Linked DNA regions of Rhinolophus ferrumequinum. The protein of the gene in region 2 interacts with the protein of the main gene of each other region in a biochemical or structural test. Links are inferred from orthologs where the notes say so. Each region holds a gene or a part of one and is shown on either strand. Other genes may lie near its edges.

Region 1 (7,293 bases), on a different chromosome or scaffold from region 2:
AAAGTCATTATAAAATCATATGTATTAACACCAAAGCACAAATAAATTTTATGAAACTGCCAAAACTCTTATCAAAATGATTTTTCTAATTTACTTAGCAGTTTCTGTAAGATCCCCATTCCACCTTTGCCTCTCTTCCTAGTTGTTACACACTTTTTTCCTTACAGAATCACCACACCTATCAATCGTTATATTCTTCAACTCACCCAAATATAACTGCATTCCACTGCATGATGTTGTTTTCAGATGGTGCGCCACTGACACCCACAGGTGGGTCCTCTTGCAATCTAGAACCCCAGGTAGTAATTTTACAAGTTGAACATTAAGGCCAGGAAAAAAAGACCAAACAGAACACCTATACACCATTTACTTTGAAACAAAATAAAACCATTTTCTTGTCCTTGTGTTGAGCTGGAATAAACCATGTAACTTAAAAAAAAAGAAAAAACGACCAGGTATACACTTATCTACAAATTATCTAAAATTCCAAAGAGTTTGGGAGTATCCCTCTTCAAATACCATCAAGATTAAGATATCTCTTCAAGAACTAATGTATACAGGCTTCCCTCAAAAAATAAAAATTAAAATTAAAAACCTCAACTGCAAGATTTTCACAGAACATCCATTTTGCTGCTGTATGAGTCCTAACCACAGCTATTTGTGCAACATGGCCACCAAACCTCCTCCCACCCCCCAAAAAACAAAAAAACCTCAGTGTAAACTAGGGTTTCCGGGCAGGGATTCCCGTCCCGTTCTCGTGATCTTTTTTCGCTTTCCCATTCCCGAATCCTGAGAAAAGTTGGTCGGGAAATCGGGGAGATGGGCTCCTTGAACCCAGTAATACCCACAATGGGAAATAAATGTATTACTCGCAATGTATCTTAGACATTTTTCCTATTTATCGCTAGGGTTTCCGGGCGGGAATTCCCGCCTGTTCTCGGGAACTTTTTTTCTTTTTGCTTTTCTGTTCCAATCCCAAGAAAAATTGGTCAGGAAATCGGGAAAATCGGCTCCTTGAACCCAGGTGGTTGGTAGTATCGGCCGTCACTTTGTGGAAACAGTTCATCGTGAGAACAGAAAACAGTTTATATCTCGGGATTCGGGAAAGAAAAGCGACAAAAACTCCTGAGAACGGGCGAAATCCTAGTGTAAACACAAAACTATTAAAAACACATATCCAATTTAATTAGGAAACTAATTTTAGGCAGGAAAGTTACTTTATACAATTTGCTTCAATTGGCAATGGCTTTTAAAGTAATCAAAGTTTCATTTAGGTTTTCCTATCAGTCCCTATTTTAGAGGTTCGGCACTAACATTAAATTTACCTCTCAGATCAGGAGAGTCAATACAAAGCTACTACCATCCAACATTTGTCATAGTCAAATTCTCATAACCTGGAGACCCTTGGAAAACTAGCAAAAGTGCCATGTGTTCAACTCAGAATAAAGCAGAGACTCACAGTAAGAAAACCAGGGTAACAATGGACACAAACAAAGTTTTATTATTTGAATTTTGTTCATGGGAGTTAGTCTGAAATCTACCAATTTCAAGCTTCAGAAGAAGCATGAAATAGGGCATCTCCTTTTAAAGACTGTTATCTCAGTAAAAAATGAATGCTACATTATATATATTATACATGCAGTGATTGTCATGTAGTATAATACTTTGAAATTAGTCTACATAAAAATGGTTATTTTTAGTGAACCTCAGATTAGGCCACGATGAAGAAGCCTTAGAGGAATTAGGCTGCTTGATGCCCACCAAAGGCTAAGAGAAGTTACGAATATATTCAACGATAAATTGGCTGAAGCCCAAAACAATAGGTTCCAAAGGCCTCACCTACGACGTTGTAATTGTGAAGTTGAGAGGTTACTTCCTGAGCAGCTAATCTAAAATTTTACACTAGATATTTTATCTCAATCAAGGCAGGTCTCCCATGAAAAACACTTATAATGTGCAGAGGATCGCAATGCTAAGTTTTCTCAGTCATTTTTTTCCCGTACCTCCAAGTATTCAATCAAACGTAAACTGGAAAAAAAAAATCACTTCCTTCTCACTAACCCCCACACTTCTCAACAAAACCCTATTTTACAAAAGGAGGCCCAGGGAGTATCAGGTTAACGCCAGTTAAGGGAAGGCATTTTTCCAGACTTTGGAGGCTATAGATAGGGCTTTATACACCAGGCCACGGAGCTGAGTTCCAGAAGGCACTGGCAGCCGGTGTTGCCAGCTCGAGTCCCAGGTTTCTAAGCCAGTTCTCAAGGTCCTTTCAGGCGGGCGGGTGAGAGTCGGGTTTCGGAGGATGGGTTAACCACCTCCGGATCTCGCGCTGCAGACCCCACCCTCACTGCAGAACGAACGGGGGGGGGGGCTTTTCGCCCCAACCCTGTCCCTCCGAGGAGACCGCAGGACCATCGAACAAAGCTGATTGGTGCAGCAAGCAGGGAAAAAAGCTTCCCCAAGAGCTCGCTTTTGGGAGACAAGGAGGGGGCGCCGCCGGGTGCAGGGGTGGGGGTGGGGGGGTGAGGTTTGAACGCTGGGGCGAGACGTCGGGCAGCTGGCCCGAGCAGGCAGCGGGGAATCCTAGGACAGCCCACAGCCATCTTTTTACTTTTGGGGAGGAGGGGGTATCGAAATGTCTTACGTCAGAGGAGTGAGCAAGCAAAGATGTGGAAGTGCGAACGGGGGGAGTAGAACTGGCCTCCGTCGGTCCCGCGGGGCCCACAGTCGGCCCTCTTAGGACCGTGAGAGGAAGGTATCCCGATCCCCACCCTGCAGGCCCGTAGGTCTGGGGAGGAGCCATCATCCTGGCGAACGTGAAGGGCCTTACCGCTTGAAATCCCGCATAAGCCTCCTCCGGGCCGGGGTCGACATGCTCCCCAGCTGCCCCGCGGTCAGTCTGAGAGAAAAGAGTCCCGCGCAGCCCCCCCACCCCCCGGCGCGGCGGCCGAATCACTGCGGGTCACCGCCGCCGCCGAGGCTGCACAAACAACCCTGCAATGACGTCTCCCTCCGCCACCTCCAGATCCCTCCGCCCTCCGCCACTACCACAGAATGAGGGGTGGAGGAGAAGGAGATAGGCCGTATGAGAGCTCGAACGTAGCCTTTCAGCAGGACCCTATCCATTGTGGCTGCCTGACCTAATCGAAAAATTAGTCTTCGCTGTGTTCAGGCTGGAAATTGTGAATTAAGAGACACCGAAACCGAAACACCACCCTGTCTCTCCCCCTTTCACTAATTTAGGCCCGACCGGGTGGGGAGAGAGGGACTCAAGCGAGGTCGGAGATTTCAGGAAAGGAGGAGGGATGACGTAAAACCACGTGACTGCTGGCGGAGTTGTCAACAATCCACCCCTGAGGGGGAGGGGGCGAAGTATCTAGAACCACGTGTCCCTGTGACGCGATTAGAACGGATCCCTTGAGAGTGTCTCCTGGATCTGAGTCTCAGCCAGGTCAGTGAAGCAGGTAAATTGACTGAGCTGAGGGCGGGCATATACTTTTATTAGTTTTCCATCTGTTTCGTCCTATGAACAGGGAGGGCAATCGAAGAGGTCCTGATGGAAGCAAAGCTTGTTTTGCTTAAGTCTTTAAAACTGAGCCGAAAATAATTTGGATTTAAAATCCCCTCTGGCTGGTTCAATGGCTTATCAAATCTGGTACATGAAGAAGAAAGTGATGGGGGCTTTCATTTTTTCTAATAAATGCAGGATTAAATGCTGAGGCCCGTACGAAGTAAAATCCCCTAAAATACTTCCTTAGGGCCATGCAATAGCGTGTATGTATGTACATTGCAGTGGGGTTTCCAGGGTTGGAAAGTCTGGGCAAAGATAAAAGAACGGTGTAGATTGTCCAAGGTTTATTCACACTCCCTGTGGAATTAAGAATCTTGTTTTTCCTTTATAGGTCTGCCCTCATATGAGGATGTGTCCAAGTCCATGGATTTGGCTAGGATGGGGTACCATTGTATTTGTCAATAAATGTGGGGATGAGGTCTCCAGAGAGCATATCAATGGAAGGTTGGTTGTTAAAGAAACCTAAAACTATGATTCAGATCTTGGGGGGGGGGGTAAATATACCCTGTTTCCCCAAAAATAAGACCTAGCCAGACAGTGAGCTCTAATGCGTCTTTTGGAGGAAAAATTAATATAATAAGACGCGGTCTTATATTAATTTTTGATCCAAAAGACGCACTAGAGCAGATGGTCCGGCTAGATCTTATTTTTGGGGAAACACGGTATCTAGCCTGGATAAGTCATTTAAGGTTTTCTGTATCAACAGGTAAGGGGCAAATGTGCCAGAAAGCCCAGTGGGAAGGGGCAGGGGCATGGCTTAAAGGTATTGACCCTTGGAGAGGACTCTAAATACTTCAGCCCAAAGTGGAATGAGAAGATAGAATAAGGACCTTAGAATTGCCCCAAGTTGCCCAAAGTTCAATGGAACCAGAGAGGGCTAACTTTCCCCACTTTCCTGGTACCCCCTCCACCCCCCCACCCCCCCACCCGGTCTTCTAACCTTGAATTCCAGCTCTTGCTTTTAGGAACTGCCTTCGTGATCAGGTCAGCCAGGACTAACTCTTGATAGGTCCTGCTGTGCATTCACAAATGTGATTCTTTAAGTCAAAAGTTAGATATTCTTATTTTTACTTTTTTGCCTTCTTGCCATAGCCAATCCTAATCCTTCCCTAGCTAAGGATGAAGACACACTGGTGGGGTTACATGCAGTGAAATGCTGAAGAGAAAATTTTTTAAAAAATCCCTGTTATGTCATTTATCTAGCAATTTATAATTGTTTTGGAAACCTAGTTTACAATTTTCTAAAATGAAGAACACTTTCAACAAAATCAGTGAAGGTGTTGCTTTAAAGTGTTGTAGTAGTGTATTAAGCAAGAATCATTGGCTGTCCTGGTTACCAGGCCCACCACAACCTATTTGTAGTGTTAAAAACAAAATTCAACAGAGTAAATTTGAAGATCTAATTGGCTTTATCAAGCGATTCATGAATTGGGCAGTGTCCCACCTAGCAACTAGAAGGGCACTTTGAGAGGCTTTACAAAACGGAAGGTTTTTATAGGAAGAAGATAAAAGAGCTACCGCGTTTCCCTGAAAATAAGAGCTAGACTATCAGCTCTAATGTGTCTTTTGTATCAAAAATTAATATAGACCTGGTCTTATTTTACTATAAGACCAGATATAATATAATATAATACCGAGTCTTATATTTTTGCTCCAAAAGACACATTAGAGCTGATTGTCTGGCTATGTCTTATTTTCGGGGAAACACAGTATTAACAAAAGAAAAGGATTAATTTTGAGCAGAGACATCTTTTGGGGTGGGAGAGAATGGGAAGGGTTTTTATCACACAGATTGCCTCTTTGTTTTCGAGGGTGACGTGGAAAGGGCCCACGTGATAGATTATTTCATTGGTGTTGACCAGAAAATTCTAGGTAACTAAGGTAGTCTGGAATTTTGTGGTCAAGACTGTTCCTGGGAGAGGTTGAAACTGCAATTAAGTAAGGTATTAAATCTAGGTTTGGTATCATGGGCTTCCTGGTGATGCTACTTTGGGCCTGTGATTTTTTTTTCTTTAACAGTAGAAAGAATAGTTTTAAGCTATAATTTTATACTGTAGTGATTCTGTATTGCTAAACTGTGAGCTCACTGAGGGCAAGGACTCTGATTCATGCCTTGTCCCTTGCAAATACTTAGCCCAGAACATATATTTAATACGCTTACAGCAAGTCAGGGCCCACTATGAGATTTACTTTAACATGCTTATTCTTAGAAAGTATTTTATAACAACGTTGAACAACTTTTTAAACGGAAAGACATTTCTGAATTTTTTTTGGTGATGATAAACAAAAACCAATGATCACCTCTTCTTCCTCTCCCACTCCTCTCAGTATAAACCTTAACAGCATAGAAACACCTGGGAGCTTTTAAAATACCAATTCCTTTACCCTGTCGTTTAAATTAGGATCTCTGGGAGTGGGGCCTTTTTAAAAATTCACCTATCCATCATGAGGGGTGTTTTCCTCATACTCCCTGCCATGACCTCCTCAAATATGAGGTTCATAAAATACTGCCTGCAGTCACCCACAGATCAGGCCCTGGGACCCAAGAAAACCTCGGTCCGGCCCAATCCTCAAACCAGACGTCTTAGGGTCCTGGACCAGTAAGTAGACATTTGTGATTTTAATGTGCATGGTGGGGTGGAACCAACTGGAGTAGAATTTATTGGATAATAATGATGCTTTCTCATTTAGGGGAAGCATAGTGAGATTTGGCCTTTTAACATTTAACTCTTTTTACAAAAAAAAAAAGAAATGAAAGCCCCAAGAAATACCTGGATGCTCGCTGCAGTGATATCCTTGTTATTCATTGGAGGCTGTCACTGCAGCAGAACCCTGTGTCTAGTTCTTAAGCAATTAGATAACCGCTTTTTTTTTCTCCCTGTGCCGTTGTATGTCAATCCGTGTGTGGCAGAACTCTTTGGATTATTTGCTTTCCCAAAGGAGTTTTAGGCGTGTAGTGAGTTTTTAAAAAAGGAGGATTACTACGAGTTCGAAAAAATTTAAACGCATTATTTCAGGTATTCAAGAAATGTTGATTTAGTTACCATCTTATCCCCATTTTAGGGATTAATGTCGATAGCTGAGGTCGAACTCAGTTTTCAAAGACAAACGGGGTCTGTGGAAAAGATTCCTATTTTTTTCTGTTTCTGTATTTTAAAGTATCGGTTTATTTTGTAAATGCATCATCCAGCTTGAACATAACTACGTAACTTAGAAAACTCCGATTACACCAGACTTGTTTGGAAGTCTCACTTTACAAGATGTCTCTACTTAATGATACCAGCCATCCTTTTATGACCAAGCATAAGCAGCAGGTGTTCTGCCTGGGGGCATATGCGACCCAGGTTGGACCAGAATCCACCTCGGTTCCCCTTTCGTGGAGGATTTGCAGTCATTCACGCTGCAGTCAAAATGCTAATCCGCCCCCATCTCCGCTCAAAATCAACTTTGTGTGGAGGCTCCAGTTTGATCAACCGCAACCCGTACTCCCCACTCCCACCCCCAAGAGAACATCCACTTGGCGCCCATGGGGAATTCGTTTCCCATCCCCACCCCCAAGAGAACTTCCACTTAGCGTCCACCGGGAATTCGTTATCGCGTCTTCTCATTTTCTCTTCCGGGTCAGGCCGGTGCAGCCGACGTTCCGGTCTTGCGCGTTAGGCCCCGAGCGCGAGGCCGGCGGCACCGTTGCCATGGTAGCGGGCCGCCTCCGCTAGCGGGGC
Region 2 (5,401 bases):
CAAAGCTCGCGCCAAGGCCAAGTCGCGCTCGTCACGCGCAGGCCTGCAGTTCCCGGTGGGGCGAGTGCACCGCCTGCTGCGCAAAGGCAACTACGCGGAGCGGGTGGGGGCCGGTGCCCCCGTGTACCTGGCGGCCGTGCTTGAATACCTGACCGCGGAGATCCTGGAACTGGCGGGCAACGCCGCCCGAGACAACAAGAAGACTCGCATCATCCCTCGCCACTTACAACTAGCCGTGAGAAATGACGAAGAACTCAACAAATTACTCGGGGGTGTCACTATCGCCCAGGGAGGTGTCTTGCCTAACATCCAGGCAGTTTTGTTGCCTAAGAAAACGGAGAGTCACAAACCTGGCAAGAACAAGTAATTCAGATGGTTGACACCCGTCCTCCCCCCCCCAAAAGGCTCTTTTAAGAGCCACTCGAGTGTCAAATGAGGGGCTGACCACAACAGCGCATTAGCTCTTTTTTTGAAAACTTGGGTGGCTCTAAAAAGAGCCTTTGATCTTTGGTTTACTTTGTCACATTTTATTTGCTTTTGGCTTTGTGGCTCTCGGTCTTCTTTGGTAATAGAACTGCCTGAATGTTGGGCAGAACGCCGCCCTGGGCGATGGTGACTTTGCCCAGCAGCTTGTTCAGTTCCTCGTCGTTGCGGATGGCCAGCTGCAGGTGACGAGGGATGATGCGCGTCTTCTTGTTGTCTCGGGCGGCGTTCCCCGCCAGCTCCAGGATCTCCGCGGTCAGGTACTCGAGCACGGCCGCCATGTAGACGGGCGCGCCAGCCCCCACCCGTTCCGCATAGTTACCCTTGCGCAGCAGACGGTGCACTCGCCCCACCGGAAACTGGAGACCAGCCCGGGACGATCGCGACTTGGCCTTAGCGCGAGCTTTGCCTCCTTGTTTTCCACGACCAGACATGACTACACACAAAACCAACTGTTCTAAATCTCAGAACCTCGCACCGAAACAGGACTGAAAAATCAGCACTTCGAAAGCCTTTATAAGCTTTCCTAGGGGAGGGGTCAGGAATGAGTTTTTCATTGGTTCTAAATTGGCTCCAGAAACGACCAATTGGGTCAAGAGTCAGTGTCGTTACGTAGCTACTACTGGAAACGCCAGGTCCCTGCGTAGCCCAATAGAAACGAAAGACTTCTGGAGTCCTAATTTGCATACAGTGGTTATAAAAGGATCATGCCCGCCCATTATCTCATTCCTTTTCTTTACCAAGCTGTGTTGTGTGTTTGATAATGCCTGAGCCGGCAAAATCCGCTCCCGCGCCTAAGAAGGGTTCGAAGAAGGCAGTCACCAAAGCCCAGAAGAAGGATGGCAAAAAGCGCAAGCGCAGCCGCAAGGAGAGCTACTCCATCTACGTGTACAAGGTGCTGAAGCAGGTGCATCCCGACACCGGTATCTCGTCTAAGGCCATGGGTATCATGAATTCTTTCGTCAACGACATCTTCGAGCGCATCGCCGGCGAGGCCTCCCGCCTGGCGCATTACAACAAGCGCTCCACCATCACGTCCCGGGAGATCCAGACGGCCGTGCGCCTGCTGCTGCCCGGGGAGCTGGCCAAGCACGCCGTGTCCGAGGGCACCAAGGCCGTCACCAAGTACACCAGCTCCAAGTGAGTCCCTGCCGGGACGCGGCGCTCCCATGAGTGGCCAGCCGCTTGACTCCAAAGGCTCTTTTCAGAGCCACCCACCTACTCAGAAAAGAGCTCTCTGCGTTCATCTTTTCATAAGTTATGTTAGGATAAAGATCGCGGAACACATACGTTTTTAAGCTTTCCTGCTTTGAGGTTCCGCCTACGTGACTTGGCTCTTGAATGTAGGGCACGTCTTTAACCCGTTCCTGTGCTTTTTGCTTTTCCTGAATCAGGTCTAAATTAGTATCGGGAATCTGCTCCTACTCCGGCCCCAGACGTCTTGGTGGCTCTGTTGGGTATATTTTATTGGCGTTTTAAACGAAGTGATTTCGGTCATGTTCATTTAAGAAAGTGTCCCAGGACAAAACTAAGCCCGGGTCTCGCGGACACTGCGTCACAGCCAGGAAGGTTTCTCCCGAGAATTCGGCAGCTGCTTGGGTGCTGATCCGTTGTGTCCTGCGATGTGGCCTCCTTTGGACACCAGCGATTCCGAGCACTTCCGGCGGAGTCTGCGCTTCCAAGGTCCCAGCCCTTCTCTGATTGGACAACGTGAATATTCAAAATCCCGCGCCGCCCCTCGGAATTAATAGATTCTGGTTTCTGCTGCTCACTTTGCGGCTTTGAAATCCCTATTGTTTCTCGTTCTTGTGTTTCATTTTTGCTTTTAATTTTCTCAAAAGGTTCTGGACTCGGGTCACTTAAAGGCACTGGTCATTTAGGTCTGGGTTCAAATTTAACCTCTCAGACCTTCCCAAGTTATCCACTCAGGAATTTGCGCTCCTCATTCCTGCCTGTCCTGGTCCTTCACTGTTTTATCTTCCTCATAGCAGCCGTCAGAAATTTTCTCTTTCGTTTATTTTGTTTATGTTTTTTCTTATGCCCTTAACAGAGACTTTGCTGGTCTGTTTTTTGGCTATATCGCCAAAGCCAATCAGTACCTGGCACATAGTGGACACTTAAATACTTACTGATGTTAATATTTGTTAAATTTTTTTATCGCACCCTTTTCTTCTAATCACTTCCATGGATGGGTGGATGGGTGCGGTTCATTTCCATTAGATGTATGTGAAGACATGAAAATGGAAATGTTTTTGGAGCTCCTTCCCCAAGGCTGTCGTCCATGGTCACCTCGGGGCAACACCTGAGAGGAGGCCCATGTTAAGATTCTTTTTTGCTGGAAAGAGGACGTGGCAATGGTAGGTCTTCCTTTTACTCTAACGCTTCTCAGTTTAGCGTAATCTCTTGGGTTTTCAGTACATTGAGAGTTGGTCACTGGAAAGGCCCTTTTCCCTTCTTTTCTGCCCCACTCCCTGCACCCATCCTCTGTTCCACACTGAGATGAGCTTTAATTTGCACTTAGCCATCTCATTTGTTTTTCGAAGACCACGTAAGACAGACAATCTGTATGATATGCAAGGTTAATATGCTACCTTTTACAAATGAGGTTGAGAGAAGCAAAGTGATCGGTCCACTGGTCATGCAGCTAACATTGTCCACTTCTGTCTCCCGAGAACTGAGGACAGTTGCAATTTAGTTTTATTTTGTGTAATTACAGAATGTTGAATCTCTGTCTAAACCTTGATTTTGCTGATAAAGACACTGATGGTCTGATCAGGTACTCAACTCTGCTTTTGCCTAAGGGGTCCTGGAGCCCACTGTAAGGGTTTCATGAATCCAAATGGACTCCAGACATTATCATAGACTGAATAAATCTTGTTTCCTACATGTGTGTTTTCAGATGTGTGTAGAGGATATGGTTATTAATAAAGTTACCAGTTAATTTAAAATTCTTTTATCTGCAATATATTTCTAACTAAATGAAATTAGCAGATCCAACCACTACTGGGTCTGTGGGAAAGCTTGGAGGATGAATATTTATAAGCCACCAATTAACCAAACTTACTTGTAGCTCAGAGGTGCATTGGGCTAGCCTGTTATGAGGACACTTAATGCTTAGTAATTGAAAAATACATGATCACAAATAAGCATTGTAAACAAGATGGAAGAAATAAAGTCCTTACAAAATTTTAGCCTACAGAGCACTTACGATGGGCCACATAATGTTCTAGGCCCTTTACACATTCTGACTCATTTAATCCTCATAAGAACCTCATAAAGTAGTTACCATTATTATCTCCCATTTTATAGATGATGAAACTGGCACAGAGAGCCTTCTTCTCTGAAACTCTCCAGAGGATAAATTCCTAGTTCAGTGTTTAAGGGACTTGAGAAAATCAGGTAACTGAAATCCTGGGTGTCTCCCTGGATTCTAGGGGGGAATATCTGTGGTTTAAAATTAAATAAATGTCACCTGGTTTTATTCTCTTCAGAATGCACCCTGAATATATACCTATGCTGGTGGTGGCCTTGAGAATGGGATTGGGGGGTGCTCTGGTTCTCCATTCCAGAGGCCATAGCTCAACGCAATTTAGTTTGTCCTCAGTGGTGGGACTTACCAGCTGGAATCCCTTCGCTAACAGGAGGTAACATTAGTTGCTGGTTGTGCGCTCCTCCAGGGCATGGTGTTTACTACCAGTGAAGTTAGAGTGAGGAAGGGGTTAGAGGTGATAGAGTTTGGTATTTCAGCTCTAGAAGGGAGTTAATTAGTAATGGTAAGATGACTCCTCCTAAATAACCTCTTGGATCACTTTTATCTCCTGCTCAAACATCTGTATACATTTTCTGATGTTGGGGTCAATAATTGTTATAATTCCTTCTACTTATTGAGCACCGAACTATTTACCTGGTCTCTGCCAAGTGATTTACATGCATTGCCTAATTTAATCTTAAACAGCCACTATTTAAGATAGGTGATTGTTATCATCCTTACTTTATAGAGAAAGGAAACTGACTCTCGGAGAAGGTAAATAACTTGTCCAGGAAAATAACTTGTCCAGGATTGTTTAGGGAGTAACTGTTGAAACTGCAGTCCAATGCATGATTTGAAAAAGCTTAATATGCAAGGCCCTCTTTTTTTTTTTTTTTTTTAATTTTCTGCTCTAGTTAAAATGGTCTCTTTACCTTCCCCTAAACCTACGTTTTCTTTCCTAGGTCGGTACTGGACTGCACTGCATCTTCCTTCTGTCTTGGCCAGGGCTTTTTCTCAAGCCAAGCCCATATCTTCCAGCTCAAATGACACCTCTTAACTCATTTCTCTACCATACCCACTTCTACTTTTGTAAAAAACAATTTTATTGAGGTATAATTGACATGCAATAAACGATACATGTTTAAACTACCATTTGCTAAGTTTTGGCATATACAGAGTGTGCCAAAAAAAGCATACACATTTTTAAATTTAAATTGGGGAATATTGGGTAACTGTTTTTCCAGGATGTCAAGTCGTCGTTTTTCAATCTAGTTGTGGAGGGCGCAGTTCACTGGCCCATGTGGGAATCCAACTGGCAACGTTGTTGTTAAGAGCTCAGGCTCTAACCAGCAGAGACATCCAGCGTAGCCCTATGCACATTTTAAGAAAGGAAAAAAAACTGTATTAAAATTGTAATACTAGGTATATACTGATAACAAAAGATGAATACAAGTCATGTGTATACGTTTTTTTGGCACCCCCGGTATATATATGAAGACATCACTACAATCAAAATAATGAACATATCCATCACTCCTCTGCCCATTTTCTAGTGTCCCTTCATAATTCTTCCCAATTGCCCCCCTTCACCAATGTCCTCCTTTGCCCCAGCCCTGCCCTCAGACAACCACTGGTTTGCTTTATCTCATTATACATAGTTTGTATTTT
Region 3 (7,173 bases), on a different chromosome or scaffold from region 2:
GTAATGGCTTCATGCCATTAGTCATGGCCTTTTGTGACCATTTAGTCAACAAATGTTTGTTGAGACCCTGCTGTGCAGCCAGCAGTGTTATGGGCCATGGGAATAAAGCAATGAATAAAACAAAGTCCTTCCTCTCATGGTACTTACCTTATCATGGTATATAGGTGGTCTGGCTAACAGGATGGAAAAATATTGCGTTCTTGCTCTGTCCATACTAGAACTGGACACCTGTGTAATATTCCAGCTTCTTTCTTCTTAGACATTGTTTGGAAAGGTACTGACAGCATTTACTACTGTGAACTTAGATGTATGAATTCATTTGGGCCTGAATGTCCTTCCTTTTCTTTAAGTTTACTTGGATATCACTGCTCTCTGATGAGCTGATCTCACCACTTACCTTTGAAGACAACCTGACATTCTTTATTTACAGTCCTTGAGGGTCAATTATCTGTAACCCTAAGAACTGAATACATTCATATTTGATACATATATAAACAAGAGAGACAGTCTGGTGTGGGAAAAACAACACAAGCTTTGAAGCTGGCTTTGGTATGAATTCCTGCTCCATTAATACTTAGTTCCTAGTTCTACGTAATTTAGCAAGGTAGCAAACCTACTTTTATAGCTTTAAAAAAAAATAGTACAAGTAATATACGCATAAATTTTCATTAACATTCAAACTTGGTTTTATTACTTTAGGGGTTACTTTAGGGTTCATATTGTACGTCTTCAATAGATCACAGTGATAATGTATTCAATTGCCACTTCATGTATAGTATAGTTATACCACTTCGTGTATAGTATAATGATCTGACAATAATATACTTGCATTTCTCCTTTTCGGGACTTTGTATTATTGTTGTCATACATTTAATTTATACGTATATTATAAAGCTCACAATACATTGTTATTATATTTGTTTAAACAGTTAATAATCTTTTAACAAGATTTAAATACTAAGAAAAAAACTTACATATTTACCATGTACTAGTAGTTACCATTCCCTGCACTCTTTCTTTTTCCTACCTGATACCATTTCCCTCTCCCTGAAGGATGTCCTTTAACATTTCTTGTAGTAAAAATAGGTTGATGATGAGTTCCTTCAGATTTTATATCTTAAAAAGACATCTTTTGGCCTCCATTTTTGAAAGAAATTTTTACTAGGTATTCAATTCTCTGACTGCACTGACTTTTTTTCTTTCAGTCATTACAGATATTGATTTAACATTTTCTTGTTGTCATTGTTTCCAACAAGAATTTTGTTGTGATTTTTATTTTTTCCCTCTGTAGGTAACATGCCTTTATTCTCTGGAGAGTTTCTCTCTTTATCACCATTTTTGAGCAATATGATTTTGATGGGCCTTAATGTAATTTTCTTTATGTTTCTTCTGTCTGGAGTTCCTCGAGTTTCTTAGATCTATGAGTTTATAGTTTTTCTCAAAGCTGGAAAATTTTTCAATCATTATTTCTTCAAATGTTTTTTTCCTGATCCCTATCCCTTACTTTCCAGAACTCTATTGCACATATATTAGGAAGCTTGAAGTTGTCCTACAGCTCATTGCTTTTCTATTTCTAAAATTTTTAAATTTCTCTGTGTGTTTCATTTTGTATAGTTCTTTCATTGCATGTTTAAGTTCACAAATCCTTCCTTCTGTCATGTCTAATTTTCCATTAATCCAACCCAGTGTATTTTTTCATTTCAGGCATTATAGTTTTTATCTCTAGAAATTCAGTTTCATTCTTTAAATATTTTTCATGTGTCCACTTAACTTTTTGAACACATAGAATACAGTTATAATAACTGTTTAATGTGCTTATTTTAACATCCATAGCAGTACTTGGTGGGTTTCAATGGACTGATTGATTTTCCTTATTATGGGTCATATTTTCCTACTTCTTTGCATGCCTGGTAAATTGGACATCACTCATTGTGAATTTTGTCTTGCTGGGTGCTGGATATTTTTGTATTCCTGTAAATACTCTTGAGTGTTTTCGGGAGGAGACGTGGAGATGCAGTTAAGTTTACATGGAAACAGTTTTATCCTTTCAGATATTGTATTTAAGATTTGTTCGGCAGTACCAGCGCAGTGCTCCACCTAGAGCTAATTATTTTCAACTGCTTAGACAGTACCCTTCTGAGTTATCTACCCAATGCCCCAGGAATTGTGCAGTTTTCCCAGTCTGGCCAGAAGGAATAGGCACTATTCCGGGCTCTGTGTGAGTACCAGGCACTGCGCTATTCCTTCCAATGTTTTTCCGTTGGTTCTTTCTTCAATTTAGGGAACAGGTCTTCTATTTTGTATTCCCCAGAGTCTGGAGCATTGCTCTCAAATTTTGCCTAATCAATATCATCCTCATAAATGTGAAACAGGAGAAGGTTCTTCCTGGGATAAGTGCTCCTCCTTTGTACTCCCACAACTGCCTGTAACTCCTCTATCGTAGAAATTATTATATCATCTTGAAATTGCATATCTGATAGACTTTATGGGGCAGAGACTACGTTTGTCTTGTTCAATGCCATTTCCCCAGTATACAGCACAGGAGGAGTACAACAAGGAATTATGAAATATGAATTCTGAATTCTGCTTCCAAACTGCTTGGTGAGAAAGTGGGTCTTTAAACAAGTCGCAGAGCCGCAGACCTCTAGAACAGGAAATGTTAAATAGACCAGGCCTCAGGAGTTCATTTGACTGTAAGGTTATAATCTTATCCTGTCAGGCGGGTTGGGCCTTGACCCTTGTAAGCCAACTAAGCGGGAGCATTGTGTGGGATATGTTTGTAAAGGGTTCAGACTAGTCTAAAGGTCTCGGGGCATATTTAAATTCTGTGCAGGCTTTTCCTTCCTTCCACATATGTTTTAATGTCTACTGATGCTGGCACTGGAGCTGAAAGCCTTCATCCAGTATAGAGTTGCAAGAGACACTGTTCACATGATATTTTGTGTTATTGTCTAGGAGGCATTTGATATCATGTACATGCAGACAGCACGACCAGGGTTCCATCTCAGCCTGCTACATAAAGATCAATGAAAGGCAACTCTATTCTTTATTTTCTTTTGACTATCTGGCCACGTACATCTTTCTAACCTTGCTTTAAACCAAATTCAACAAACATCTTAGAATTCCTACTCTGTGCCAGGCTTTCCAGTTACCATTGGGACTTATCATTGGATCAGCCCTTAAACAACAGAAGCAGCACTCCCAGAGTGGCCTAAGGATGGGACAATATTCAGTTTTTGAGCCCTGGATCTCCCTCTTTACAAATCTTTCTCTCCATCTTCTGCCATCACATTTATAGTACAGCTCATCTTATCCCTGAGCACGAACAAAAGTGAGACGAAACAAATTAAGAATAGTGTGGGAAGTGAATTCATTCCATTAATTGATTGATTCATTCATCAGTTAAATATTAATTTTAAGCACCTACTATGTGTCAGACACCAGGCTGAATGTTGGTAGTATAAGGACTCGCAGAGACAGCCTTTGTCCTTAAAGAAGTCACAGTCCTGTGTTAGAGGCAGGCAAGTGAAGAAACTGTTACAGTAATGTGAGTGAGGTAGAAGGTAGAAGAATACATAAGGCCAATATCTAATTTCTTGAGAAGACATAAATTCTTGGAAATGGTGTTTATCTTTCACAGTTCCTAACAACATAATTTGTATAAGGTGAGCAGTCCGTAAAGAGTCAAAAAACCTGGATTCTCATCCCAGCTTTGTTTTTGACCAGCTGTGTGTCCTTTGACAGTCATTTCAGCTTTCTGACTCTCAGTTTCCCATCTGTAAAGTTAAACTGTTGATACCAGTCCTCCAATAGACTGGGTTATTGTAAAGATCAATGGTCACGAGAGTGACTTTTTAATTAATTGTAAAGACCTGTGCAACATAAAATATGCAATCATAAGTTATATTCTTAAATGTTTTTTGAATTTTAAAACAGAACTTGTTCAGCACTAACGTTTTCTTTAAAAAAAAAAAAAGAGAAGAAAAAAAAACCGAAAAGCAGACCAGTCGGTAAAAGGTCCTTCATTGTAGTCACCTTCACTGTTTAAAGCACGTCTGGCTTCACTTTTTCAACACTCCAGGAAGATATTTATTACTATCCCTATTAGACAAATGAGAGAAGTGAGTGCCAAAGAATTTATCCAAGAGCACAACCTCTTCAAAACCCAAGCCTGGGCCACCTCCCAACGTCTTTAAACGTCAACAAAAGTCAAAAAGACCCACCCCCCGGCCGCAGGGGGCATCGTTTCTCCGGAAGCCCAGCGTCCCCAGGCGCAGCGCTGGACGAGACTTCAATTCCGCCCGATGACGCATGCGGCCCCACCCCCGACCATCCACCTCTCGCGGGATCTCTCGGGAGGACGGATGGGGTCAGGTCCCATCATGGCGGCTGAAGAGGCGGATGTGGATATCGAAGGGGACGTGGTGGCCGCGGCAGCACAGCCAGGGTGAGGCACAGGGACCGGGTCTCGCCGGGACGCGGAGGGGGGCGGGTGCGAGGAGAGTGCCGCAGAATGGCGGCGCGTCGGTCAAGGGCCAGGGGAGCGGAAGAAAACCGCGGCGCCAGGGTCTCCTAGCGGCCGGTGAGGGGCCGCGCCCATCGGGCCAGCCGGCCACTCCTGAGCCCAGCGGGCGGGGACCCCGAGCGAGTGTCGGACGGCTGTCGCACCTTTTATCTGGATGCCGTGAGGGCTCCGAGTTCGCCTAGCGCAAGGCACTCTTCCGAACAATTCCTTCTGCCACTCCCTCCACCCCCCAATTTCGCCAGAATCCTCCTCCTCACCCCCGCCCGACAGTAACTCCGACAAGGGCGGCCCCTGGACGAGATCCGAGGTCAGGGATCCTTGTTCCTTGCTTGGCAAGCCGTGTGACCTTGGGCGTTTCAGTCCGACTGGCCGCAGGTTTCCTCTTCCACGTAGGGATAGTTGTGAAAAAGTTCCTGAGAGGCAGCTTGACTTAAGGGAAAGGGGTAGGACTTCGGAGCTGGACAGCTCGGGGTTCTCCTCCTGCATTGGCGGGCCCTGCCAGTGTCTAGCAGTGTGACCTCAGGCCAGACGTTAAACTTGTCTCCGCCTCAGACAGCTCATGTGTAAACGGGCAAATCATGAAATGTACCTTGTACGAGTCCGGTGAGGATCCAATGAAATATAATTGTTGGGTGTGTTTTAGCATATGTTAGGTGCTCGGTAACTGTCGTGTTCTTGACTGTTCTGTTACCCTCGAGGATGGTATGGTGAGAACTCAGTGAGGGGTCACGATGAATTTAACACCAATTTCTGCATAATAGGCCAGTGTCGTTTTAAACGGCACCATCCAGCTTGAGATCTAACCCTTTGACTCTTTGCTGTCTGAAATAGAAATTGATGCATACCATTTTAAAAATGTACCTCCAGAGTCTCCCTTTAATAGTGGAAGAGGCCAAGACGGATGAGGAATCAAAAGACCTCCATACTAAACTCAGCCAGCTGTGCTGCTCATAACTGGGAACAACTTCATTAGAACTCCATCTACTGTGTTGAACCATGTGAAAGCGCCAGTCTTAGAACGTTTTGACCTGTAAAATGGCAATTTCATATGATCCAAGCTAACATTGGGGTTTCTGTAAATTGTGGACAACAGTACTGACCCTGCCCATGAGGGACTAACATAAGAGGTTTAAAGTTTTTGTGAATTCTAAAGCATTGGAAACATGTGCGGAGTAATTAAATTCATAGTTATTCTCTCCCAAATCGTTAGGCAAATCAGTCCAAAGCTCTACAGATGAGTAGGGAACCTTTAATAACCATCATTGTTCACATTAGTAGATGAAATTAATCTTTTTTTTTCTTTTTTCCGCCACCCCCCTCCCTCTCCGGTTCAAGCCGTGGTTTCTCGGTCTAGCTGTGTAGGACGCAGCTATGTTGCCAACCCAAATCTCTTTTCCTGAGCTTCGGATCTGTTTATCCAACACTCCGAAACTATATGCTCTTGGTGGTTCCACAAGCCCCTCAGTCTGAGCTTAGAAATTTTCTCCACCAAACGTGCCTCTCTAGGTTCCCAGTTCAATAAATGGCGCCAACTACTCAGTCACACAAGGCACAGACCTACATGTACACTTTTCCTTGACTTTTTCCTTCTACTCTTTCTGTCCTATCAGTTATTAAGGGTCTGTTGACTCTAAGTATACTCTCAGATGTGTTCACTTCTTCCTGTTGCTTGTGCCCTTGGTCTAAATTACTGTCACCTTTTTCTAGTATTTATATAATCACTCCTTCATAACTGTTCCTTGTCTCTTTGGCCCCTTCTATACTTCCCTGAAGTTAGAGCCGCCTTTCTTACATCCGTCTCTGATTGTGTTATTCCTTTCAATTCCCAATTGACTTCTTGATAAAACATTCATTCCTTAACTCCTAGAGATCTGTGTGATCCATGCCTCACCTACTTCAGTCATTCAATCATTCAACAAATATTGATTGAGCACCTTTTGTATACCAAGCAGTTACCAAAACTTAAACCCTTGCTCTAATAGAACCAAACATTCTTTATTAGGTAAGACAGACAATAAACCTCCTATATATATTTCAAATGGAGATAAGTGGGAAAAGAAAAAGGAGGGAAGGTGGATGGCTCCTCAGCTTTATCCCTCGCACTTACCCAGGGAAAAGTATAAGGTCTGAAAGTACAGGCCCTCTGGTCAGTGTGGATATTGTGTAAGAACTGGATTTGAAAAAGAGAGAAGCAACAGAATTGGCAACAAATTGAATGTGCATTGTGAGGAAATAAGGACAGGCTCAGATTTCTGGCTTGGGCTTTTAAGGGGATGAAGATGCCATAGACTGAGATAGGGAACGATGGAAGAGGAGCATATTTGAGAGGAAAGTGAGCTCAGGTTTAAACACATTAATTGGTGGTACCTGTGGATGTCCAGGTAGGTGTCTTGATGCATACACCAGCGGTGTGGATGTTGCTAATTCTTACTGAGGAATACTATGTAAAAAGATTTCTGAAGTAAACTTGAAGTGATTCTAGTCCCACCTCCTGCACCCTTGGCAGGTCTAGTTAGTTAAACAAAGGTTTCCTTCTGCTGATATGAGTCTAAGAATCCTTTATTTTGCGTTCCTGGTAGATCCTGTCAAGTCAGAATTGACATTTGAATTAAAACCTTTTTGCCATCAACAGTTGAGAAACATTATTG
Region 4 (7,380 bases), on a different chromosome or scaffold from region 2:
GGTAGAAATCTGAAGCTTGGTTTTAGACATACTTGGTTTAGACATAATGCAGTGCCTAGAAAGACAGCTAAGTGAGTACAGATTGGCAGCAGGCAGATGGATGTAGTTATGGGGTTTATGAGAGATCCCGATGGAGATGCAATTTTGGGAGTAATCAGCATTTACTTAAAGGCATGTCTGTTTAATCACCCAGGTAGTGAGTGACGTTGGGAGAAGACACCATAGAGTTTGGAGGTCTGGAAGACAAAACGGAACAAGCAGTGAAGTTTGGGACCAAGTCACCATTGGAGGCGGGGGAGGCAACTACGGGAGTGTTGTCACAAGTAAACCACTTATTTGTCCAATTATTTCTGGAGATGAGATTTCAGTCTAAGAAAAAACCCTGTAAGAGAATTTTCTGACTCAAGATTTCCGCGAATGCTGTAAGACCATAGAATCAAACGAGTTTCCTGAGCGGAATTGTTCTTTCTCCTGCCTCGCCGGCACAGGAGCCCTCGCACCTAACAATGAACTAGGCCTTGGAGGGGGAAGGGTGGTGGTGGCGATGGTGGGGGGCAGGAAACGCCGAGGCCCGTTCTAACCAATGAGCGGTGTGCAGCGCGTGGGGAGGCGGTGCCACTACGTCGCCACGTTCCGGGGACCAGGAACGGGCTGCAGCAGCGACCCTCAGTCCCTGCCACTGGGATCTAGTGGGCAGAAGACTCACCTCGAGCCATGGACCGCCTTGGTGCTGTAGCCCCGGGTTTCCTGGCTGCGTGGCCAGTTCACTTCTCATCCGGAGGGAGCCTCAGAATTCTGGAGGACGACCGGAAGCGTACACACCGCTCCGGCGGGGCGGCCCCGGGGACGTGAGACGGCGCCTTCCCGACGGGGCGCGTGCGCGCCAGTCCCGGAAGCGCGAGCCGCGGGGACCTGTTAGTCGCGGGTTGCGGTGGGCGGCTGGGATTCCTTAGCCCCATCGCGTTCCTGTTTTACCCTATTGGCATTTGCCAGCTGCTGCCACTGTCAGGGAGAAGTGTAGCCAACACTGGTTCCTGGGTCAAGGATTGATCCCTTAAAGGAACGCCCCTCAAATTCGAACGTGGCGGAGGAAACATTTACGGATGTTTGTATAGCGCAGATCGGGATCGGTAGGTAGCGGTGGGGTCCTACATTCCGCATTCCTAAAACCTTCCTGCGCTGCAGCGGTCCTGACGGTCCTGAACGACACTGAGTAGCAAGGCATTAGGGAGAGGGTGAGCGTGGATGCTGGCTGTGGCGACTTCAGGAAGGACCCTGGGCATACACAGAAGTTCGTCCCGGCTAGTAAAAGGACAGTTTGAAGGCGACTCCACACGAGAGTAATTAGAAATGTTTTTCTTCACAATCTAAATATACCCAATGCACTTTTTTCTTTGTGTTACATATGCATTTTAGAAATCTCCAATAAGATATTTTGCAAACACTGATATTCATTGGTGTTGGTTATTGTTGCTAACCTCTGCGGTTTTTTTTTTTTTTTACAAAAATAAAATTAGTACATAGGTCTTTATAGCTGCATCTTCTACTTGGTATTTTGTAGGTATTTTTCAATGTCATTAAATCATTGCTTTTTTCCTCCAACTTTTAGGAACAATTTCAAGCGCACAGCAAAGTTGAGAGAATTTTACAGTGAAGCAGTAGAGCAACTCAAGAGAAGGGGAGCGATTTTGCTCCCCAGGGAACATTTAGGAATGTCTGAAGACATTTTGGGTTGCCACAACTGGAGGGATGCTTCTGACATCTAATGGGCTGCTGCTCAACTTCCTACAAACACAGGCTATCCCCCTACAACAAGGAACTCGCTGGTCCCAAATGTCCAGAGTGCTGAGGTTAAGAAACTGACCGGAACGCTATCATAACATTTTCCTCTACCAGCTTTGCCATACATCTATGCAGACATTAGTATACCTTTCCCGTAGTACTTCAGCATGCATAACACTAGTATTCAAATTCAGTTTCTGTAATGACGAGTGGGGGGGGCCAGGGAGGGGCTACTTCATTTATTTAGCAATACCTAATCAGTTTATTTAGCAATACGCAATAGCAAAAGACAAAGGCAATTCAAACAAGGTGCTAATGACAGAAAGGAAAGGCGGTTAAGATTAAAATATATGCCAGCGAAGCTCACCAAACGGCTAAAACAGCACTGGAAAAGTCATAAAACAAAATCTTGTCAGGTCTGCGGCGGGGAAAGCTGAGTTGTCTCCCAGGGCTGCTTGCTAGTTCCCAAGAATGCTGGAATGATGAAGACTCACCAAGGACGGATGACGAAAGTACACTGCCAACTGAGATCTGTCTTATATATTTTTTCAGATGTGCCTTAGAGCCAAGCTCCCTATTCCTGCCTCCTGCTCCGGGAATGGCCAGTTCCCAGAGGGTTCAGCAGTTACTGTGATAAGAATATTGCGTATCCGGCCGAAGGGCCAGTTCACTCGGACCAACAACACTTACCTGTTATTGCCTGGGACCATCGGCCCAATGCCTTCCAACATGCCTGTCACGTCATTCCGATATAATTTAGATACTTATCTACCTCATCTACTGATGCAGGAAAATAGACAAAAATCCAACTCAGAGTTAGTCTGCAACAAACCTCACATGCAGTCCTCCACATGTGAGGGAACAAAAAGCTAACCAGTGCCTCACGTGCAGTCTCTCACGTGAGGGAACCCCACATGCGGTCTCTCGTGGGGGAACAAAAAGCTAACAGACAAAAGATAACAGCAGCCAATGAAGGCAAATTTCCCGAACATCATTCCCAGTTTCTTTTGAGGCAAAAATGAAATGTGTATTTGCTGAGTTTTGACACATGCATACACCTGTGTAACTTAAACCCTATTAAGATATAGAATATACCAGAACCCGGAAGTATCTTCACACTCCTTTCCAGTCAGTTCCTACCCAACCCCCAAGAAACAACCACTGTTCTGATTTTTCCCCACAGGAATTAGATTTGCCTGCTCCAGAATTTCATATGAATGGAATTATACAGTATTTTTGCTTAAGACTTCTTCCAGAATGTTTTAAGAGATTCATCCATGTTCTTGTGTGTATGAGTACTTTTTATTGCTTAGTATTCCATTGTGTGACTAGACCAGTTTTTCCATTCTTTTGATGAAAATGTGGCTATGTCCAGTTTTTTGGCTATTTTGAGTAAGGCTGCTACGAACATTCTTGTACAGCATTTCATTTCGAATGACTGTTTCTTCAGTAAGTATTCACTAAGCACTTATATGTTCCAGACACTTCTCAATACCAGAGATACAGCAGTGAACGAGACAAAGATGTCCCATCTCTCAAGGAGCTTACATTTGCATGTTTCTGTGTATGTAGGAGATGGGGACGGGAGATAAACATATAGGTAAATATGAAAGAAAATGACCAGATAGTGGTAATTGTTAGGCAGAGAAGCAAAATGAGGTGAGTGGTTGGGTAGCTATGTTCTTTAGGTTGCCCAGCCAATTTCAAACCAGAAAGTGACTCTCAAGGTGTGAACATTATTACAAGAAGATACCAAAGAGGGAAGATGAAGAGGACCAGCATTCCAGGCAGAGGAAGCAGGTGGTACAACAGATACTTCTGTGTTCTAGAATTGAAACAAAAAATGCCTGTGTGCTGAGTGAAGATAGCTTAAAAGAATCATATCAGCAAAAAGGGCAGGAGAATCAGTTTCCCCCCAAATTTAGCCGTCGTGACTCTGACCAATTCAACAGGTTAGGAGGCAACGTTCTTAACCTACTTTTATCCGATTACTAATAAGGATGAACATTTAATCCTATCTTTTATGACCAATTGCTCTTTTATTGTGAATTATCTTGTGTATAGCACTTGCCTATTTTTCTGTTGGCACCTGCACCTTTTTCTCCCCAGCGATTGTGTTTTCTGTATAAGACTAAACTCCAGGGCAGTGAGGCCTATGTTTAATTCACTTCACAGAGGGTTTGGCACAAACACATTCTGGACGAAGAAACAGTAAATGTTTGAACATCTTACCCTCTGTCGGCAAGGTCAGCTCAAGACAATTTATTTACATACTCAATTTTAGAAGTCGATTGGATAGAATTAGGGGAACTGCATGAAATTTAACTGTCCCCCTCTTAGCCAGACTTCACATGTAATGTGAGTAATGTAACCCCCACGAGACTCCAAACCTCTGACTACCACCAGGTACCCACAGTTTAGAAGCATTTAGAAGCATTTGCATCCCAGTAAGGAGAACTCATCGGCAACCACAGTCCTGTGTGCCGCTGCGTCTGCGCTTCCGGGGCCAGCCGCGCGCAGGCGCCGACTAACTAGCGTCAGCGCCTCTAGACCCTGGGGCCAAAGTCACTTCCCATAATGCCCCGTACCGGAAGTTGTTGCTTTCTAGTGGTCACTGTGGCTTTGGCTCTGTCGCTTTTTATTCGTCACCAGGAGGAAGACAGAGCTGGCTGCCCAGCCCAAAGGCCTATTAGGGGATGCAGTTATGGGCGCTGTCGCCGTGGGTGAGTTCTGATCTCAATGAGTCGCAGTCACAGCTCGCATGACTTCCCGTGCTCGGAGAGCCCGAATTTTCTGCCCTGAACTCGTTCTCTTGTCTAAGGCCCCTCTTCCCTAAGCACGTTACCCATCCTCGGCCCGGTGCCGCGTTCTCATTGGCTTTATGTCCTGTCACTTCCAGAAGCTGGCCAATGAGTTGTCGGTGGTGGCGCCTTTCTCGACCTGGTGGACCCCGAGGTTCCCCCAGGGGTGCGGAGCAGTTGGACTGAAAGGGGAGGTGTGGCGGGCGCCGGGCGACTGGGGGCACCCTACGGGTTAGAGCTGGGTTTGCTGCCGCGGCCCAGTGGTGGGTCGTAGGAAAAGCAGGACCTAGCCGATTCAATGACCCTGGGATAGGATACATCTGCACAGAATTTGAAAGCCCTGTTTAAGACCTGATGACAAAGTTTTCCAAACGCTTCCATTTTCAATGGAACCGAGCAGGCATGAGAAGACTGGGAGGGCATAGATGGTAGGGAACTGGGTTAATATGAGAACCGGCAAGACCAGCTTTGGTTGGAATTTTGTGTGGAGTCCTGCAAAGAGTAATTTGGCTAAGAAGCTAATTCTCATCTGAAGAATCGCCTGAAAAACTTAATATGATTCATTGATGTTTTATAGCTGATGGTACCTACAGTGCTCTTTTCTTATGACTCATTAGACGTCCTTCATACTTGTCAAAAATTTATTGGAACTCTATCCACAGCATTAAAGTGACTCCCCTACTGTCTGTCCTCTGCCTGCAGCAGTTACAATTCGTCTTTCAAGTTTACCTTTGGAGTCTGGGCTACTGCAGTCCTCAAACCAGATTCGCTAGTGCTGCCTTCACTGCTGCAGACTTCATCCTTTCCCCTTTTCTTTTTCACGGGAACGTGGTTGCTTCGTTCTTATGTACATACCTTTGTACCTTGTAATCATCCTTTTGCATCAGGTACTATTCTTTTTTCCTATTTCCCTGCAAGAATTATTTCTTGAGGACCTACTAGGTACTAACACTATGTTAGGTGTTGTAGCCAAATCAGAAGTAAAGCCTAAAACCATTTCTTTCTCCCAGAACTTTAGATTCCAGATAGACACATAGTACATGTCCAGATTAAAAATGTCCCAGCTAGAGATCAGAGGCATAGAGGTGGGGCCGAGGTGTTTGGGAGTGGAGGATACCCAAGAGACTGACTTGATAGGCATGGAAAGAGTGGTGATTTTGGGGGGCGGGGGGTGGGGGTGGGGTGGTGGAAGACCTCCGTTTTAGTTCTGTCTCTGACCTCCAGTGATCTTTCATCATTTTGCTTTTGAGTTTCCTCCTTTAGTGAAATGCTCTATTTAAAGGGTTGTTGTGAAAAGCAAATGAGAGAATGTTTATGAAAGGGCTTTGGAGGTCAAAAGCATCATATAGTTAAACTTTAGTGGTTCTTTTTGAGAAGTAGTGAGAGTCAGAATTGCCAGAGCATTGGGGACAATTTCTAAAGGACCATGAGCGCAAGGCTGAGGAGTGTGGACTGGAAAACTGTTAAATACTTTCAATCAAGAGAGTGAAGTGATGGAAATGGCATTATTGGAAGGTATATCTGGTATTAAAATGCAGCACAGATTAGAGGGAGTTTGATTGGAAGGAAGAATGTGGGTGCTGTTTTTTTCCCCTAAGATCTATAATTCCGGGTAAGATAAGTTAAATGTTGTCTTTGGGATGAGAAAAAGCACATAAAATATACCTCGTTTTAAATGTATCTATATACTTTGTATTCTTTTGTTGTTTATTCATTTGCTTTGTAAACATGAAACTTGTTACATTTTAGATTATCTTTGTAAAGATTAGCAGTTACTCGATGTGGCACTTATTTTTCATGCAAACGTTTTTGAATTACCTTTAGTGACACTAACCCATTAAGAGCTAAAAGAGGAATACTCCTAAGACTAAGACAGAGCAGGATGACAGCTAAGTTTCAGAATTAATGGGGAAGTGTTTCAAAACATATGTTCCAAGTCTTTCCACTTATGTAATAAGAATTTTAATAAGCATCCCAGATCGGATAACATTGTAGAAATTTAAGTGGTTTTGACACTAAGTTACTGTAATGTATGTTAGATACAATTTTTCAAAATCATTGCTATTATTTAAAGCTAGGTGGACCTGTATGTACTTTCAGCACTATTCACATTTGCTGGTTTTGAATTGTTGACTAAAGAGGTGAAGAGTTGATGTACAGCTAGATTTGTCATAGTATTCCAAATTGATTTGGCAGTAATGTAATATAAATAGTTGAGAATACAGTTATAATCAATTCTTGGTTAATATCCATAGGGAATTCTGGTGTGGAGAATGCAGAACAGTGTGTCACTTTTTGTATTTGGTCTTGAAATTATTTTGAAAAATTTTCTAACTCCTGTTAGGAGTTTGTTTTCAGAATTTTTAATTTTTCTTAGAGAAATTATCAATTTAATTTGCATAGACTGCAGAACTAAGAAAGGTAGTTTAGAGGAAAAGGAAATCAGCTGAGGTTTAAACATGCCACCAGCATTCCATTCATTAATGTAGTGAGTTGAATTCCAAATAGTGTAAAGTGCTGAGACTTTTCAAGATCTGTATAAGAATACGTAGGTTCTCTCCTGACCTTTACATTTATTGAAAACCTATTAATCTTACTAAGAATCAGTTTCCTGATCTATGAATCACAGGAGTAATACTATCTATTCTATCTACTTCAGAGTTTTTATTGAAAACCAGATGATGTATGTGAATGGCCTTTATAAATTATAAAGTATGATAGGCAAAATATTATATGTGGCTGAGTTATATTACTTAGAGAAATATAAAACAAACTTTTTTTTTTGTCAAGCTAACTT

Evidence for each region.
Region 1: of the proteins of histone H2A type 2-C (region 2) and UBE2B, one has a biochemical effect on the other in vitro, tested with the Homo sapiens proteins (2 studies listed by BioGRID, with this or other methods). The link is inferred for Rhinolophus ferrumequinum from reciprocal best matches to the Homo sapiens genes H2AC20 and UBE2B.
Region 3: of the proteins of histone H2A type 2-C (region 2) and MYSM1, one has a biochemical effect on the other in vitro, tested with the Homo sapiens proteins (2 studies listed by BioGRID). The link is inferred for Rhinolophus ferrumequinum from reciprocal best matches to the Homo sapiens genes H2AC20 and MYSM1.
Region 4: of the proteins of histone H2A type 2-C (region 2) and USP16, one has a biochemical effect on the other in vitro, tested with the Homo sapiens proteins (2 studies listed by BioGRID). The link is inferred for Rhinolophus ferrumequinum from reciprocal best matches to the Homo sapiens genes H2AC20 and USP16.

What each region holds. Positions count from the first base shown.
Region 1 is NC_046307.1:10,298,925-10,306,217, reverse strand, and holds the start of UBE2B (ubiquitin-conjugating enzyme E2 B), read right to left. Parts: upstream 3,001-7,293; 5' UTR 2,875-3,000; coding exon 2,831-2,874; intron 288-2,830; coding exon 207-287; intron 1-206. UniProt on the Homo sapiens protein: E2 ubiquitin-conjugating enzyme that accepts ubiquitin from the ubiquitin-activating enzyme E1 and transfers it to a E3 ubiquitin-protein ligase. In vitro catalyzes 'Lys-11'-, as well as 'Lys-48'- and 'Lys-63'-linked polyubiquitination.
Region 2 is NC_046305.1:50,347,468-50,352,868, reverse strand, and holds histone H2A type 2-C, read right to left. Parts: upstream 954-5,401; 5' UTR 918-953; coding exon 528-917; 3' UTR 527-527; downstream 1-526. Other genes in the region: histone H2A type 2-B, read left to right, coding at 1-367; histone H2B type 2-E, read left to right, coding at 1,247-1,627. UniProt on the Homo sapiens protein: Core component of nucleosome. Nucleosomes wrap and compact DNA into chromatin, limiting DNA accessibility to the cellular machineries which require DNA as a template.
Region 3 is NC_046292.1:42,464,605-42,471,777, reverse strand, and holds the start of MYSM1 (deubiquitinase MYSM1), read left to right. Parts: upstream 1-4,168; 5' UTR 4,169-4,304; coding exon 4,305-4,447; intron 4,448-7,173. UniProt on the Homo sapiens protein: Metalloprotease with deubiquitinase activity that plays important regulator roles in hematopoietic stem cell function, blood cell production and immune response.
Region 4 is NC_046285.1:95,785,313-95,792,692, forward strand, and holds the start of USP16 (ubiquitin carboxyl-terminal hydrolase 16), read left to right. Parts: upstream 1-4,367; 5' UTR 4,368-4,486; coding exon of another isoform or gene 4,487-4,505; intron 4,506-5,285; exon of another isoform or gene 5,286-5,470; intron 5,471-7,380. UniProt on the Homo sapiens protein: Specifically deubiquitinates 'Lys-120' of histone H2A (H2AK119Ub), a specific tag for epigenetic transcriptional repression, thereby acting as a coactivator.